4 linked regions of the Callithrix jacchus genome follow. The protein of the gene in region 1 interacts with the protein of each later gene in a pairwise test. Links are inferred from orthologs where the notes say so. Each region holds a gene or a part of one and is shown in the gene's direction. Other genes may lie near its edges.

What was found. The genes of interacting proteins can lie anywhere in the genome.
Region 2: the proteins of CAMK2B (region 1) and CCM2L interact in binary tests that used the Homo sapiens proteins (3 or more experiments, as listed by UniProt). The two-hybrid records come from large-scale screens. The link is inferred for Callithrix jacchus from reciprocal best matches to the Homo sapiens genes CAMK2B and CCM2L.
Region 3: the proteins of CAMK2B (region 1) and MORF4L1 interact in binary tests that used the Homo sapiens proteins (3 or more experiments, as listed by UniProt). The two-hybrid records come from large-scale screens. The link is inferred for Callithrix jacchus from reciprocal best matches to the Homo sapiens genes CAMK2B and MORF4L1.
Region 4: the proteins of CAMK2B (region 1) and ACOT7 interact in binary tests that used the Homo sapiens proteins (3 or more experiments, as listed by UniProt). The two-hybrid records come from large-scale screens. The link is inferred for Callithrix jacchus from reciprocal best matches to the Homo sapiens genes CAMK2B and ACOT7.

What each region holds. Positions count from the first base shown.
Region 1 is NC_133512.1:12,305,717-12,309,275, reverse strand, and holds part of CAMK2B (calcium/calmodulin-dependent protein kinase type II subunit beta), read left to right. Parts: intron 1-255; coding exon 256-369; intron 370-790; coding exon 791-919; intron 920-2,348; coding exon 2,349-2,477; intron 2,478-3,559. UniProt on the Homo sapiens protein: Calcium/calmodulin-dependent protein kinase that functions autonomously after Ca(2+)/calmodulin-binding and autophosphorylation, and is involved in dendritic spine and synapse formation, neuronal plasticity and regulation of sarcoplasmic reticulum Ca(2+) transport in skeletal muscle.
Region 2 is NC_133506.1:7,189,596-7,193,833, reverse strand, and holds the start of CCM2L (cerebral cavernous malformations 2 protein-like), read left to right. Parts: upstream 1-1,424; 5' UTR 1,425-1,471; coding exon 1,472-1,501; intron 1,502-4,238.
Region 3 is NC_133507.1:29,202,971-29,207,132, reverse strand, and holds the start of MORF4L1 (mortality factor 4-like protein 1), read left to right. Parts: upstream 1-1,348; 5' UTR 1,349-1,410; coding exon 1,411-1,450; intron 1,451-2,170; exon of another isoform or gene 2,171-2,261; coding exon of another isoform or gene 2,262-2,295; intron 2,296-4,162. UniProt on the Homo sapiens protein: Component of the NuA4 histone acetyltransferase (HAT) complex which is involved in transcriptional activation of select genes principally by acetylation of nucleosomal histones H4 and H2A.
Region 4 is NC_133508.1:44,282,576-44,286,793, reverse strand, and holds the start of ACOT7 (cytosolic acyl coenzyme A thioester hydrolase), read left to right. Parts: upstream 1-1,404; 5' UTR 1,405-1,417; coding exon 1,418-1,719; intron 1,720-4,218. UniProt on the Homo sapiens protein: Catalyzes the hydrolysis of acyl-CoAs into free fatty acids and coenzyme A (CoASH), regulating their respective intracellular levels.

The sequences.
Region 1 (3,559 bases):
CTCCGTGCCAGCCTGCACTGACCTGCGCTGCTCTGTCCTCTGCTGGCTCTGGCTCGGCACTGCCCCGTATTGGCTCCCTCAGCCCTCACATACCTGCTGTGGCCATTGCAGGCCCAGGATCCCCACAGGGTGGCCATCCCAGGTATCCAGCTGTCACCCCGCCCTCCCTCCTGGCCTCCCCCTGTCCTTCTCCAGTCGCCTTCTTTTCCTGCGGGCGCCCCTGCCCACCTGCCTGCCTCACCTGTTCTGCCTCAGCCCCCAGAGTCCCTGACATCCTGAGCTCAGTGAGGAGGGGCTCAGGAGCCCCAGAAGCTGAAGGGCCCCTGCCCTGCCCATCTCCGGCTCCCTTTAGCCCCCTGCCAGGCCAATGTAAGTAGCCTGGGCCCTGCTGCTGTGGGGGTCAGGTTGGAGGGCTGGCAACCACCTAGAGGGGCCACTCCAGAGCCAAGGACAGGCTAAGCTCGGACCCTGGCTCCTGCCTCATGGCCCCACAACCCTCAGTGGGGCTTCCCAGGGCGGCCTCAGCCCAGCGAGCCCCACCTCTGTGACGTGGGTCCTGGAGCACTTTGCTGCCCAAGTCTGCTGGGCAGGATGGGAGGTCCCGGAGGCCCAGGCCTCACTCCACCTCAGCTCAGGGGAGTTTCTTGCTGTTGAGGCAGCTCTGATTCAGGGCCTGACCCCAGGGCCCAAGGGGTCTAGGACACGGGACCCTTCCACTGCCCTCCTCCACCTTGTTGCCACCTCGTATGTCTGTCTGCCTCATGTTCACGTCTTGTCTGTTCCACCCCAGCCCCCAGGATCTCTGACATCCTGAACTCTGTGAGAAGGGGCTCAGGAACCCCAGAAGCCGAGGGCCCTCTCTCAGCGGGGCCCCCGCCCTGCCTGTCTCCAGCTCTCCTAGGCCCCCTGCCCACCCCATGTAAGTAGCGGCCCCCAGGCCTGCTGCCTCTGCTGCGGACAGCTCCCTGCGAATGGCCGGCGCTCAGCAGCTTCCCACCTGCATGCACGGCCCAGCTACCCTGCTCTGGTGCCGCAGCCTGGCGTCCTGCCCTGGCGGGGCTTCCGTGGGCTACCACGCTAACCAGCAGGGCCGCTCCTGGCTTCTCCCTCAGGGCCCAGCCCCCTCCACGGCTCCTGTTCCCACTGCCACTCCCCGCTGGCTGTCCAGCCCCAGGACCCTTCCAAAAGGGTCTGTCCCAGCCTGGGGCAGCCCTGGCCCCTCTGAGGCCCCCTAACCCCCTAGGCCCTCTCTGCTGACCACTGTCCCCCCCACAGACTGTACACCCACCCAGGGGCCCTGCCCATGGTACCCAGGAGCCTGCACTCAGGGCCACCCTGTTTCCTGATATGACCCCAACCCCTGAGCGCCCTCCGTCAGTCTAAGAGGCTGAGGAAGGTGCCAGAACTGGAACCCTGGCCAGGGTCCCTGGAGCTCGCCAACAGGCTATCATGGAGAATCATAGGCTTGGCCTCCGCTGACCTGGGCTGTCCTCACAGGGCCCAGCCTGGCCTCCTCTGTGCCACCAGCAACCCCCATCTCTCCCTGTGACTCCGCCCAGCGCTCCTCAAGGACCACTTACCTGGCAGCTTTTGCTGACCAGCGGCCTCTCCCTGCAGGGTGCCCTCTGTCCACAGCAGCTTCAGCCCACCCCACCCAAGAGCGGGAGCATCTGCCTCCACTCCTGCAGCCTCCTCCCCATGCACCATGCTGTTGCCAGCAGCACCCTCTGTCCCCATGTCTCCTCTGTCCCCCCTTGTCCCCTTGGTCCCTACTACAACCCCTCTACCCCCATATCCCTCTTTGTCCCCCTAAGTACCCCCTCTGTCCTGACATCCCCTCTGTCCTCCAGGTCCTCCTCTGTTCCCCAAATTCCCCTCTTTCCCTCGAGTTTCTGTTTTCCTCCCCATACTCCCTCCTGTCCCCCACACCCTCCCCTGTCCCCCACATCCCCCTCTATCCCCTACATGCCCCTCTGTCCCCACATCACTCTTGGTCTCCTCACCCCTTCTGTCACTCACACCCCACTCTGCCCTGTATATCCCACTCTGTCCCCCCACATTCCCCTCTGTCCCCCAAGTCTCCTCCATTTCCCATTTCCCTCTCTGTTCCCCAAGCTCCCCTCTGTCTCCCAAGCTCCCCTCTGTACCCCACATCCCCTCTATCGGCCCATGTCCAACTTCTTCCCCCCACACCCTCTATCCTCCCTCCCTCCCCTCTGTCCCCTTGTGCCCCATCCCTCTGTCTCTCTGTGCCCACCACTCTCTGGCTTGGCTGTCTGCCCATGGGTTTCTCTCCTGTGTGCCCCCCGTGCCTGCCTTGTGTTTACGTCTGATCCGTTCCGCCCCAGCCCCCAGGATCTCTGACATCCTGAACTCTGTGAGGAGGGGCTCAGGGACCCCAGAAGCCGAGGGCCCCTCGCCAGTGGGGCCCCCGCCCTGCCCATCTCCATCTCTCCCTGGCCCCCTGCCCACCCCATGTAAGTAGCACCTTGAGTGGCCCTGGCAGCGGCTGCCCGGAGGGGCTCAGGGAGTGTGAGCCGGCGGTGGTGCTCTGGGAAGGGCCAGATTGCGGGGGAGGGTGGGGGCACAGGATCCCTCCGCTGGGTCCCAGGGAATGGCTTTGAAGCACATGAAGGTGCCACTGAGTCTCTGAAAATGAAGGTTATGGTTATGAAGCATGTGTGACACCTGTGTGTAGGAAGAGTGTCTGAAAGAGCAGGTTTGTCGCCGACCCCAGCACTCTAGACCCTGAGATCCACAGCTTTCTCTTGATGGGAGGGGAATAGACAGCAGAGGGTCCACAAGTGTGGCAAGGGCTGTCACGCAGGGAGCTGCCAGTTTGTGTCGAGGTGGACCTGCCGGGCAGGGAGAGAAAAGTGTCAGTTCCAGCCCAAGACACTCTGGCATTTGAGCTACCCAGGTCCAGACAGCAGGGAGCAGGTGGGGACGGAAGGCGCAGATCTGGGGGGCAGCTAGGGCCAGGCTGAGGCAGAGCGGGCGGGACGGGAAGCACAGGCTGGGCTGGGCGGCCTCTCTGGCCAGGGAGGAGCCAGGCTGGGCCACCTCCCGGCCTGTCTGCTGACTGCCCGCAGTATCGCTTACAGGGATGGATGACATCCCAGGGCTGCCGCCACCCCCACCTGTGGGGAGACACCAGGCTGGGGGTGGTGCAGAGATGCTCTCAGAGAAGAGGCTGCTGGGCCAAGGGCTCGGCATGGCAGGGCAGTGGCTGGGTGAGTACCTGAGGAACAGGTAGGATCTGCGTGCCCTCATCCCATCTGCACACCAGGCCTGGGGGCTGCTGCAGGCGACTGGGGCTGAGGGGAGTGGAAGCAGCAGCCCGAGAGGGGGATGCATCCTGCAGGCTCAAAGAGGCGCTGGATTCACCTGGTGCCAGAGAGGGCGGGGGCAGCCTCTGGAGGGGCACTCACCCCCTGAGTGTTCTGTGGTTGGTTGAGGACTCCCAGCAGGGGTTGACTGAGGGGGTCACAGGTGAATGGCTGAGGGGAGAGACCAGGTTCTTGATGGTGATGGGTTGGGGTGCCTGGGCAGCCAGAAC
Region 2 (4,238 bases), on another chromosome or scaffold:
TGACAAATAGAGCTGGGGAAAGCCATAGAGGGTTTTCATGCTTGTATAACAAATAAGACTGATAACAAAACAGATAACAAAAAAGACTGCAAAAATCCCAACCTTGCACAAAGGCCATCGAACCTTGCGCAAGAAATACTTCTGCAAGGACATCTGCCCACCAACTGCTGTCCAACTTTAGCCTGGCATCACTCTTGCTATTGATCTTTGTAGCCAAGGATAATTATTTCAAAAACAATAGCGTAATCCTTATTTTTTTTTTTTGCTTTAAAATTCTTTGTCTTCCTTCACCTCCCTGAGAATGCAGTGTTCCTAAGGGAAATATCTTTTCTTTCAGAGAGTCTCTGTTTGTTCTTTAAGTTGACAACCACTAGGCAGGTTAAACAGTTAATGTTTACTGAGCACTTATTTTTTATACTTTTTGAGACAAAGTCTTGCTCTGTCACCCAGACTGTAGTGCAATGGCGCAATCTCAGCTCACCACAATCTCCACCTCCCAGGTTCAAGCGATTCTCCTGCCTCAGCCTCCTGAATAGCTGGGACTACAGGCATGTGCCACCATGTCCAGCTAATTTTTGTATTTTTAGCAGAGACGGGGTTTCACCATGTTGACCAGGCTGGTCTTGAACTCCTGACCTCAGGTGATCTGCCTGCCTTGGCCTCCCTAAGTACTGGGATTACAGGCATGAGCCACCATGCCCGGCCTTACTGAGTACTTAATATGTGCCAGAAGTTCTTCTAGGTGCATTTAATCCTTCCAGGCTCCCTATGAAGTTAAACTAGTATCATACTCATTTTAAAGATGGGAAAACTGAGGCTCTGGTGGTAAAGAGAACCCTAGTAAGTGCCAAAGCTAGGATTCAAACTCAAGCAGGCTGTCTTCAAAGCCCACACATACTGCCTCCCTTAATAGTAATGATTATTATTTTTAAATCATAACTTGCTTAGCTACAGTATTCTATAGTTTTTAAGGCACTTTCCACCCACTCTTTAATTTCTCACCACAGCAGCCTAGGGAGGGAGAAAAAGTTTACTCCCAATTTATAGAGGGGAGGGGGAAACAGGCTGTGAAAGGGGGAGCTGACTGGCCTTGTCAAGGTCACACAACGAGGTCAGTAGCAGAAGTAGGGCTGGAACTTGGAATTTTCCAAATTAGGACTTCAAATTTGGGGGGCCCTTCTCCAGTCTTGGCCAATTCCCAAGCTCCCCTAGTAACATGCCTTCTGGCTAGAGGCCTTGAGCCTCCCTCCCCAGGTCAGCTGTGCCTGGACTTCCACCCTTCAGCCGCAGGGTCCCAAGGCTGTGTCCTCCATACCACCACCCCCCACCCCCACCCTCCCCATCAGATGGGAGGGGCAGGAACTCCAGGGCTGGTGGAGTTTCCGACTAGGCAGGAAAAAGAACAAAGGAACTGAGGGGGGGTTGGAAGAGATGGCCAGGAGGGTGGCAGGAGTAGAGGGGACACTTCACCATGGAATATGAAGTCAAGAAAGGGAAGAAGGTAGGTGGGAGGTTGGGAGGGACGCAGGGAGAGGAATGTCCCCAAAGCTGGGGAAGGGGGCAGACTGGGGTGGGCGAGGGATCGGTAGTGAGGGCCCTAAGAGGGACCTTCCTTCTCATTTGGAAGTAACTTCCTTCCCACTCTTGGGCAGCCAGACCTTCAGGCTCTAAACTCCCTGTTTCTCCACTCTCAGTGGGCTCTGGCATCCCTAAAATGGACAGACAGGGACCTTCCCAGGAAACCTGGCCAGACAGACTTGCTTTGGGAGATTCTCCACACCTGCTTCCCTGCTATTTCTGGTGGCTCCCTCCTGCAGCCTCCCAGACAGACAGACAGACACCCAGCAGATCCATTCTTCTGCTCACCACAGCCCCAGACAGAAGGACCCAGCCGGGGCAATTCCGGTAGGAGGTCGCCTACCTAGGCTTGAGTCTCCCGCCTGCTTCCCTGCTCCTCCCCACCTTTATAGAAGGGCCTATGCGTAAGGCGTCAGCCAGGAGCCATTCCCCCACCCCCAGATCCTCACCCCTTCTGACTCTGAAAAGATTTCTGGTATGCTTCCCTGGGTGTCTCACCTGGTTGTCTTTGGAGTTCAGGGAGCCACTCTAATTTCAACTTCTATCTCACCCCCATTTCCACACTCCCCTCTCCCCTTCCCACCAGAAATGTGGGTCTGGGCTATTGTGAAAGGTGCCCACATGAACCACAGAGGGCTCAGAAGGGAGCCAACACATATGCGCATGTTTTCTCTTGGTTTGTTCTTTTAACAGATATTTATTGAGTGCCTATTATGCACCAAGCACTTCAGTTTTTAGAAGGCAATGAATAAATTAATGGAAAATTGCATAGGAGGGCTGGATGCAGTGGTTCACACCTGTAATCCCAGCACTTTGGGAGGCCCAGGCAGGCAGATCACCTGAAGTCAGGGTTTGAGACCAGCCTGGCCCACATGGTGAAACCCTGTCTCTACTAAAAATACAAAAATTAGCTGGCTGTGGTGGCACATACCTGTAATCCCAGCGACTAGGGAGGTTAAGGCAGGAGAATCACTTGAATCCAGGAGGCAGAGGTTGCAGTGACCTGAGATCGTGTCACTGCACTCCAGCCTGGGTGACAGAATGAGACTCTGTCTCGAAATAAATAAATAAATAAAAATTTACAGAAAGTCCTATACTCAGTGCTGAAGGACAGAATATTAGGGTACCCAGCCTTAGACTGGTCAGTTTGAGTTGAGAGCTGATGGGTGGAAGGAAAGGGGGTAGGGAAGAGTGTTTGGGGCAGAGGAACAGCATATGCAAAAGCCCCACAGTGGGAAGGAACATAGCACGCTGGAGGGACTGAAGGAGGACTGTAGTGGGGGCCCGGGGGACAAGAGTGAGACAAATGGGACTGGACAGGTGGGCAGAGCTGAGCCATTCAGGGCCACCAACAAAAATACCAACTCCACCCGATCCCCACCACACACACATATGCAAGACAAAGTCCCAGCTCCATAGCTGGCATTGAAGGCCTCTATATATTCATCTCATAATCTAGCCACGCAGACTGACTGCACATGGCTTCTCCAGGCTCACCCTCAACCAGCCTTTGAGGCATCCAGATTTCTGCATATGCCATGCCCTCTGCTTGGCATGTTCTCTCCCAAATAGTTTCCTCTCATTCCTCAGTTTCTACATACCCCATCCAGGTTCTATGATATTGGTTCTACTCTAAGTTAAGCACCCATTAGAATCACCTGAGGGCTTGTTAAAATACAGATCACTGGGTTTTACCCCCAGTTTCTGGGCCAATAGGTCTGGGGTGGGGTTCAAGGAATTGCATTTTTGGCCAGGCACAGTGGCTCATGCCTGTAATCACAACAGTTTGGGAGGCTGAGGCAGGAGGATTGCATGAGCCTAGGAGTTCAAGACCAGACTGGGCAACAGAATGAGACCTCATCTCTTAAAAATATATATATTAGCTAGGTGTGGTGGTGGTGCATGTCTGTGGTCCCAGCTACTGTGAGGCAGAGGGGGGAGGATCGCCTGAGCCAGAAAGAATTTGCAATTCTAACAGCCCCACAGGTTATGCTGATGGTTGTGGGGCTACACTTTGAGAACCACCAGTTTAGATCCTGGCTACTCAAAGTGTGGCGCACAGACCAGTAACATCAGCAACAAATGGGAGCTCGGGAGAAATGCAGAGTCTCAGGCCCCAACCCAATCCTGCTGAATCAAAACTGGAGGGCACATAAAGTTGGAAACTTACTAGTCTAGGTCATTTCTCACAAGCCCTGGAGGCAAGGATGGGGTCCAGGTCTCCACTGAATCCTCAGCACCCAGCACAGGGTCCAGCCATACAGGTGTGAATAAATGTTTACTGAATGAATAAGTAAATGAACAGATGTATGTGTGGACTTGTGTTCTGTTTACCCGAACAAGAATGTGAGCTCCTTGTGGGTGGGGGCGGGGAGGGGAGGGAGGGTTGTCTTACCTTACTCACACCTGACTAGTTACAAGAATTAAGTAATCACACCACACATTGACTCAGCGGTTTTCAGTTGAGCTGCCTTTTGAAATTCCCTAAGGAGGCTTTAAAAAACTTAACAGATTTAAGATTAAGTCCATTAAACCCAATGGCTCACACCTGTAATCCCAGCACTTTGGGAGGCCAAGGTAGGAGAATCATTTGAGCTCAGGAGTTCAAGACCAGCCTGGGCAACACACCAAGACCTCATCTCTACTAAAAATTTTAAAAA
Region 3 (4,162 bases), on another chromosome or scaffold:
AAGTTGTTTTTGTACAGGGAACGACATAAAGAAATCTGTCTGTTTAGGCCAGGGTGGCTCATGCCTGTAGTCCCAGCACTTTGAGAGGCCCAGGTGGGTGGATCACGAGGTCACGAGTTCTACACCAGCCTGGTCAACATGGTGAAACCCGGTCTCTACTAAAAATACAAAAATTAGCTGGGCATAGTGGTACGTGACTGTCTGTAAGCCCAGCTACTCAGGAGGATGAGGCAGGAGAATCTGTTGAACCTGGGAAGAGGAGGTTGCAGTGTCACCCAGGCTGAAGCACTACTGCACTCCATCTTGAGCTAAAAAAAAAAAAGAAGAAAGAAGGGACGGGCGCGGTGGCTCACGCCTGTAATCCCAGCACTTTGGGAGGCTGAGGCGGGCGGATAACAACGTCAGGAGATAGAGACCATCCTGACCCACATGATGAAACCCCATCTCTATTGAAAAAAAAAAAAAGAAAGAAAAGAAAAGAAAAATGTATAATGTTGAAGAAATCCGTGTGTTTAGAGTGTGTACATTCAATTACGGCTCAAAAAATTAGATGACAAAAAAGCACGAACGGGGCAGGCATGGAATGCAGACGTTGGTGTATTCACACTAGCGTTTTCAGAAAGCAGAGCTCCATCATCTCAGTCAAAGCCTGCCTAGTGTTTCCTACGTCATCTTCCTCATTTCCGCAGGGCCGGGGCTGGCAAAGAGGAGGTAGACCCGGGAGCCAACAATGGCTATCAATCCCACCAAACAGACTCGGCAGTGGGCTTGCTAAACAATGAAGCTGGTTCCAGAAGCGGACTCCGCTTCCCACCTCCTTGAGGCCAGATTGCTGACCCTAAAGCTTTTCTATGCAAAAACTAGCGGAATGCTTTTGAATGGAGGTTTCAGAGGCAGTCCTATTCTGTCCGGATACTTCCACATCAATGGGGGCTTATCTGCGCGAGGGACCTTTGCCATTCTTTCATCACTAATGGCTCACCGCCCCCAGTCTCCCCCATCGCCAGCTCCACCTTAACCTCCAACGAAATCAAATCTCCGCTTTACCGACCCGCAGCAGGCGGGGGGATGGGGAGTGGAGGGTGGGGGATGGAAACGGGCCGGGGTCGGGGTGAGGGTGGCCGGCCCCTCCCCCACCCGGCTGCTCCTCCAGCGACTCGGAACTACCAGTCCCGGCGTGCCCCGGGGCGGCGCGGGCGCAGGGGCGCGTGCGCAGCGGGCTGCAATTGGCTGGGGCAGCGGCTGCGCGGGTCGCGGTGCTGTGAGGTCAGCCGGCGCTGGCAAATCCGGTCCAGGATGTAGAGCTGGCGGTGCCTGACGGCACGTCTGACGTGAAGTTGGGTGGGGTAGAGAGTAGGGGGCGGTAGTCGGGGGTGGTGGGAGAAGGAGGAGGCGGCGAATCACTTATAAATGGCGCCGAAGCAGGACCCGAAGCCTAAATTCCAGGAGGGTAAGTGGGAGTCTTTCGGAAAATGGCACCTAAGGACGCAGGAGATAAAGGCGGGCTGGGGGTGGTTGAGGTTTGGGGGCTGGGGGCGGCGCGGGCTGCGCCCTGAGAAGGCGGTGGACTGTGCTTTGTGCAGGGAAAGGGCATTGCGGATGGTAATTCCAATGCGTCACTGTGAGAAAGCGCTTTGTGAAGCGAGAGCGCTACGCAGGCGTTAGAGCGGGAGAGCGAGCGTTTGGCGCGTGGCACACCTTCGTCGAGTGTTATTTTTCTGAGGAAGAGGGCGCGGAGAGAGCAGCCTATTGTAGGGAGGCGACGGGAGCGCCATGGCGGCGCTGAGGGGAAGTGATGTGGCAGCGGGGGCGGGGGGGGCAGCGGCCGTTTCGGGCGGTCCTGCGGGGCGCCCGGCCGCTTGTGCGGCCACGACTGGCGGTTCGGTGTTGCCTGGAGCCCCGCGGTGGCCGCGTTCGGGGGAGACTCGGAGCTGCGGAAAGGGGGGTGGGTTTGGCGGCCCGGGCGGGAGAACTGCGTTGTAAAATGGCCGTTGCAAAATGGTGGCGCCATCATGGCCACCGGCGTCTCGGCTCTGTGTGCAGGCGCAGCGCCCCCTTCTGTGACGACCGCAACGTTGCCAGGGCCCTCCGGTTCAGAGTGGTGGGTGGGGACAAAAAAAAAAGGTTCAGTGGGATGAGCGTTTTTCTCTGCTTTGTGTTGCCTAGAGGCATCACTTTGCTGTGCTTCGGCGCACTGCCAGGATCCTACCGTGATGTGAGTGCGCCCTCGCTGTGCAGTTGCTTGTAAAAAGTGAATAAAAATGAGCGGAATGTTGTGTTACGGCGTTTACATTTGTAAGTCCCACGGCCTCGACATTTTTTAAATGCAGCAATTGATTAGTTTGATTAGTTGCAGTGTTTAACAATCATCTGGAAGTTGAGTTTATTTTTAATTGGCTTTCGATGACGTTTTGGCTCAGGTTAGATTGGCTTCCAGTGGGAGGCAGCTCTACATTTTCGTAGCGCATCAATTAACGTATAATAAGGTGGAGGTCTAACAGCTAAAAAGGAAGTAAAATAATTTTGGAAAGGAGGAACACTTGAAAATTCCTTTTCATTGCTATGAAAATTTGTGCTAGTTACCTTAAATACGATGTCTACAAGTTTTTGATTTTTGTTCAAGGGAGTTTTAGACTTGCATTAGAATTCCTTTTAGAGCCGTAAACGCAAAACCAAAGTACTGCATATTTTAAGTTTATGGGCTATTTAAGGGGGCTTTGGGAGTATTTTTGTTAATGAGTGACTTCCTTTGTTTAAATTTTTGAGACGGAGTCTCACTCCGTCACCCAGGCAGGAGTGCCAGTGGCGCTATCTCGGCTCACTGCAACCTCTGGCACCCCCCCTCCCCCACCGCAAGCCTCCGACGTCAGCCTCCCAAGTAGATGGGATTACCAACTCGGGCTGCGACGCCAGGCTAAAGTTTTTTTGTTTTGTTTTTCGGTTTTATTGTTGTTGTTTTTATTTTGTATTTTTGATAGAGACGGGTTTTCATGTTGCCCAGTGTGGTCTCGAACTCCTGTCCTCAAGCGATCCACCCTCCTCGGTTTCCTAAAGTGGTGGGATTACAGGCGTGAGCCACCGTGCTAGACGGTGACTGACTTTTAATACCCATCTTCCACCTTGAGAAGGGGGGCTCTACCTTCTGTGGATTCATTATTTTACTAGGCAATTTAGAGCAGATACTCTTTTTTTTTTTTTTTCCTCCCTTAAAGGGGACCGAGGCCCCGAAGCGGGCCGATGGTCTTTTTATTTTTTCCCGAGACAGAGTTTGGCTCTTCTTGCCCAGGCTGCAGTGCAATGGCACGATCTCACCTCACCGCAGTTTTCACCTCCTAGGTTCAAGCGATTCCTTTGCCTCAGCTTCCCGAGTAGCTGGGATTACAGATGTGCGCCAGCATGCCCCACTAATTTTGTTTCTTTTCGTAGAGACGAGATTTCTTCATGTTGGTCAGGCTGGTACTCAAACTCCGGACCTCAGGTGATCCACCCGCCTCCCAAACTGCTGGAATTATAGGCGTGAGCCACCGCGCCCGGCCTCCGAGCAGATATTCTTTTTTTTCTTTTTTTTTTTTTTTTTGAGACGGAGTTTCGCTCTTGTTACCCAGGCTGGAGTGCAGTGGCGCGATCTCGGCTCACCTCAACCTCCCCCTCCTGGGTTCCGGCAATTCTCCTGCCTCAGCCTCCTGAGTAGCTGGGATTACAGGCACGCGCCACCATGCCCAGCTAATTTTTTTGTATTTTTAGTAGAGACAGGGTTTCACCATGTTGACCAGGATGGTCTCGATCTCTTGAGCTCGTGATCCACCCGCCTCGGCCTCCCAAAGTGCTGGGATTACAGGCTTGAGCCACCGCGCCCGGAGTCAGTGGATATAATCCAGAGGGCACGTGAATTTGAATGAGGAAGGTTTTTTTCCCCCCCCCATTTAGCTGAAGTTTAGCATTTCAATTTACAGTGTAAATCCTCCCCAACCACGGAAAAAATGAAACCCGCATTAGTATTTGCAGTATATTTTCATATCTCCGCATTACAATTGTGGAAGTTGCATTCAATTATCACTTACTCTTTCCTGTTTTTTCTACGTTAAGGTAGTTACTGGATTAGCCACTAAGTCTTGTTTAAAAATTAGTATCAAATAAGGAGCTAAAATGTCGTAGAACATGA
Region 4 (4,218 bases), on another chromosome or scaffold:
CCCCTGCTCCTGGGAGTTATAGACCATGTTGTGGGCTGCCTTCACGGTCCGGTAGCGGTGACCAGGATGAGGTACAGTTCCTTTAGAGCTACCTAGCTGAGTGTAAAATGGCTTGTTCAAATTGCACTGGGGAGCTGGAGTTGTGTGGGTTTTCATTTAAAGATGTGAGTACAAATCTATGTGTACTGTGGAAATTCGGAAAAGGTCAAACTGGCTAGGAAGCAAAAAGCTGACATTCCAGCACGTGGGTGCGGCCGCTTCTCCCCTCTAGGATGTTTTTTTGGTGGATTTATTTTTTTTTTTTGGTGACCCCCAGTAGCCTGGACTCCGTTCCGGGTCACATCCGTGTGCTGTAAAACACTGCATGTTTCAGGGTTCATCGCTGCAACACGTGCACCTCCAGGCTGGCGCTCAGCGCTGCCGGGAAAAGCCGCATCCGGCAGTGTGAACAGGCGCGGGCCTTTCCTCCTTCCCACCTCGTGACGCTTTGTGCCGCTGCAGCAAAACCCCGTTCCATTCCCCGTGTGCGCGCCCGTGTGCTTCCCGGCAGCCGCCACCAATGCTCCTTTCCAGGAAACAGACTTCCATTCTCTCTTAGGGCGGATCGCAGAGAGCCGCGGATGCGGGCGACCGGGGCCCGGGTGGGGTGGGGGCGGGGTGGGATTCGGGCCAGACAGTCAGGCGCCCCGGCCGGACCTTCCGCCGTGACCTCATCCGGTCGCCCAGGCACCGGGCGCGGCAGCGAATCGGCGGCGCGGGCGGCCGGGAACGCCCCCGCACAAATATTTACCGCCGCGCGGAGAGCGAGGCCTACGTCCGCTCCGCCTACGCCACTCGGCCGCTTCTCTCCGGACTGTCACCGGGTCGGACGCGGCCTCCACGGCTCGCGGGCCTTTCCCGTGCCGGCGCGGCCCAACCGCCACAGATCCTTCTGGAAGCGGCGCCCGCCGCGGCCCTCACGGCGTCAGAACCGGACACACGCGCGAGCCCGCGGCGGCCTTGGCGGCCCGGGGCACGGGAAGCGGGGCGGGGCCTGCGCGGGGGCGGGGCCTGCGCGGGGAGGCCGCGTTAGATTCGCCCCCGGCGCGCAGGCTCCGCCTCGCCGGCGCCATGGCTCCGCCTCTGCCCTCCCCCTCTATGGCGCCGCCCCGGCTCATTCATTCCGCGCCGGGCCTGCCAGACACCTGCGCCCTCCTGCAGCCATCCGCCGCCGCCGCAGCCGCCAGCATGTCGGGCCCAGACGTCGAGACGCCGTCCGCCATCCAGATCTGCCGGTAAGAGAGGACTCGCGCGGCGCCGGCACAGGCCACCCGGCCTACCCAGCTCGGCCCTGCGGTCCCCACCCGCCGAGGCCGTCCCCAATTCCCGGCACGGCCTCCCGCGCCGCCGCCCAGGACCCCGCCCGCCAGCGGCCGGGATGCGCCTTGCGATGCAGCACAAGCAGGGCGGTCCCCGCCCGCCTTCCGCCGGCTCCTCCCAGCCGCCTCTTGAGGGCGGCGGTTGCGCCACCGGCCATTTGGGCGAGAAAGCCGGGCAGGGACGGGGCGGGTGGAGGTCCGTGCACAGCTCCAGAGCCCGGCGGCCGGCGCCCGCGGGCTGCCCCGCCCCGGGCCTCGCCCGAGCATCTCGGAGTCTCAGCCCCGTGGTCCTGCTTAGCCTCCTGGAGCATTCGGGATCGTTACCTCGGCGGTTGTGCTGCGCCAACCAAAGCCCCCAGAGGTGAAGGAGAGGTGCCCAGAGCCGGGCGAGCCCCTCGGTGGGTGCCTCCGTGGGAGGAGGCTGCAGAGCTACCGTCTTCAGGGCACTGCTTCGGTTTAGGGGAGGGCGGGTGTTGAAAGGAAGAACAGATAATACTGTTTGCCACTGACAGTTTACTATCAAGAAAAGGGAATCAGTGGTCTGTTGGGCCTGAAAGCATCTTACACAATAGGGGCAAAGGGTTGTCCTTCTAGGGCACCCCCCCCCCCGCCCCCGCCGGCTTCCTCCACCGGGTACTGAGTAGATAGATGCAAGCCCCCAGCGGAAGCTGGAGGCTGGAGATCATGAACAAGCTCATTTCCCATAGGAGGTGGGGAGGGCAGCCTCAAGGTTACTCTGCAGTTCCCTTCGGTAGAATCGGAAGCAGATGCAGGCTGGCATTTGTGCATGAGCTAAGTGAGGACAAGGAGTCTAGGTTTTCAGCCACTGCACATGGGCACTATGGACTTCGACCGATCCTACCCTGCTTGATGAACTACCAGTAGTGAGAGCTGCTGTTTTGGTGGTGGGTGCCTCACGTTTGGGAGTTGGGCATCACAGATTGACCTTGGGCTCAAGCCAAGTCCAAGAAAAGCAAGTAACGTTCCCGTAGACATTGACCTCTCCCGGAAGGCTCGGCATATAGCAATATTCCTGGGTCAATGGACATATAGCAATATAGTCCTGGGTCAATGAAACTCCTTGACCCTCAGTCTCAGGCCCTCTTCTGGGCTGGTCGAGGGCCTTTCCTGCCGGTTTGATTTTTCCAGAGAGGCATCATCTTTGTGCGGAGCCCTGCCCTTTGACTTTGGCTGTGTGGCTATCCTGGCCCCATCACCTCTGGAGGTGGGGAAAGCGGAGCAAACATAATGGAAGTAACTGGAGACAGACGGCCTGCATCAGGTCTCTGAATCAGCTCTGCTGAGTATTGGCTGGGAACCTTGGGCTCCCTGGTTTGCAGAGTTTATACCTGTCTGATCTCACTTGGTTTGCCCAGCTTCCCTGGGAGGTTGATGGTCAGGAAGGCCACCTCTACCTGTATGGAGGAGGAAATGGCGGTTTCAAGAGTTGAATAATTGTGTAAAGTCATCCTGCTCCAGGAGCTCCAGGGACAGCCCCGCCCAGGTCTTCTGACTCCAGATCAGTGTTCTTCTCACACCTCTCCTGAATGAAGGAAGTCTTGGTTTAAATCTACCTGTGGAAGGCTGGGCTTTTATTTACTTCTTCAGGATGATGAATAGCCAGTTCATACATGTTATCTCTTTTCACCCAGGTTCTAACAGTTACTAGATTTTTTTTTTTTTTGAGACGGAGTCTTGCTGTGTTACCCAGGCTCGAGTGCAGTGGCACACTCAACTCAGTACAACCTCTGCTTCCTTAGTTCAAGCATGTCTACCTTAGCCTCCTGAGTATCTGGGACTACAGGTGTGCACCACCACACCCAGCTAATTTTTGTATTTGTAGTAGAGATGGTATTTCACCATGTTGGCCAGGCTGGTCTTGAACTCCGACCTCAGCTTCACAAAGTTGAGATTACAGGCATGAGCCACCGGGCCTGGCCAATTGCATATTGTTTCTAAGTGGCTGCTTTGGCCAGATGACTGGCGAGCAGGATGCCTGGCTGTCCCCTTCATGAGTGAGCAGGTGAGTCTCAGGTGCAGGGCATGACTGCCAAAAGAGTGGGTGGGAGTGGTGGTAGGATTAGGCCTGTGAAGAGAAGGCTGTGGTCACATGGGCTTGACCAGAGAAATGATAGGACACTGGAGAGTGACTGAACTAGGATGGGGAGCCCTTTAAGGACATCCAAGCCAACACCCCAAGCTGAAAGAGGAGACTCCTGGCCCATTATAGCCAAGCCCATGAATTTAACAGGGCTTCGCTGGACACCACCAAGAAGCATAGCACTAGCACCAGGAGGGCAACTGATGCATGGAAAATTCCGCCCCCGCCTTAACGGGTCACAGTCCAGCAGGGGTGAGGACGCCTATATCCCCACCATCTTGGACAGTTAGAATGGTCACATGTTCTCAGTTCAGACACTGTTGAAGGGATAGGGGCTTTTAAGGCTGGTGATGATGGCAGTGGTTATGGGCAGCTCTGCAATCCTAGGCTTGGGGGTGGATTTGGCCTTTGCCCCTTGCTAGCTGTGTGACCTGAAACACACTGCTTAACGTTTCTCTTCCCCCCTTTTCTCATGTGTTGTTCTGAGGCTAACTGAGGCTAAATCAAGTGTAGCGAGTGGCTGGTGGAGTGGCTGGCACATTGTAAGTCCAAGGAAGCTCATGGCTTCGGTTTGAATCCCAGCTCTTGCAGGTGGTATATGGCTTTAGGCACGTTCCTTAACCTTGTTCAACTTTTGTTTTCTTTTTTCCTTTTTTTTTTTTGAGACAGGGTCTTGCTCTGTCTCCCAGGCTGGAGTGTAGTGGTGTGATCATGGCTCACTGCAGCCTCTATCTCCCAGGCTAAGGCAATTCTCTTGCC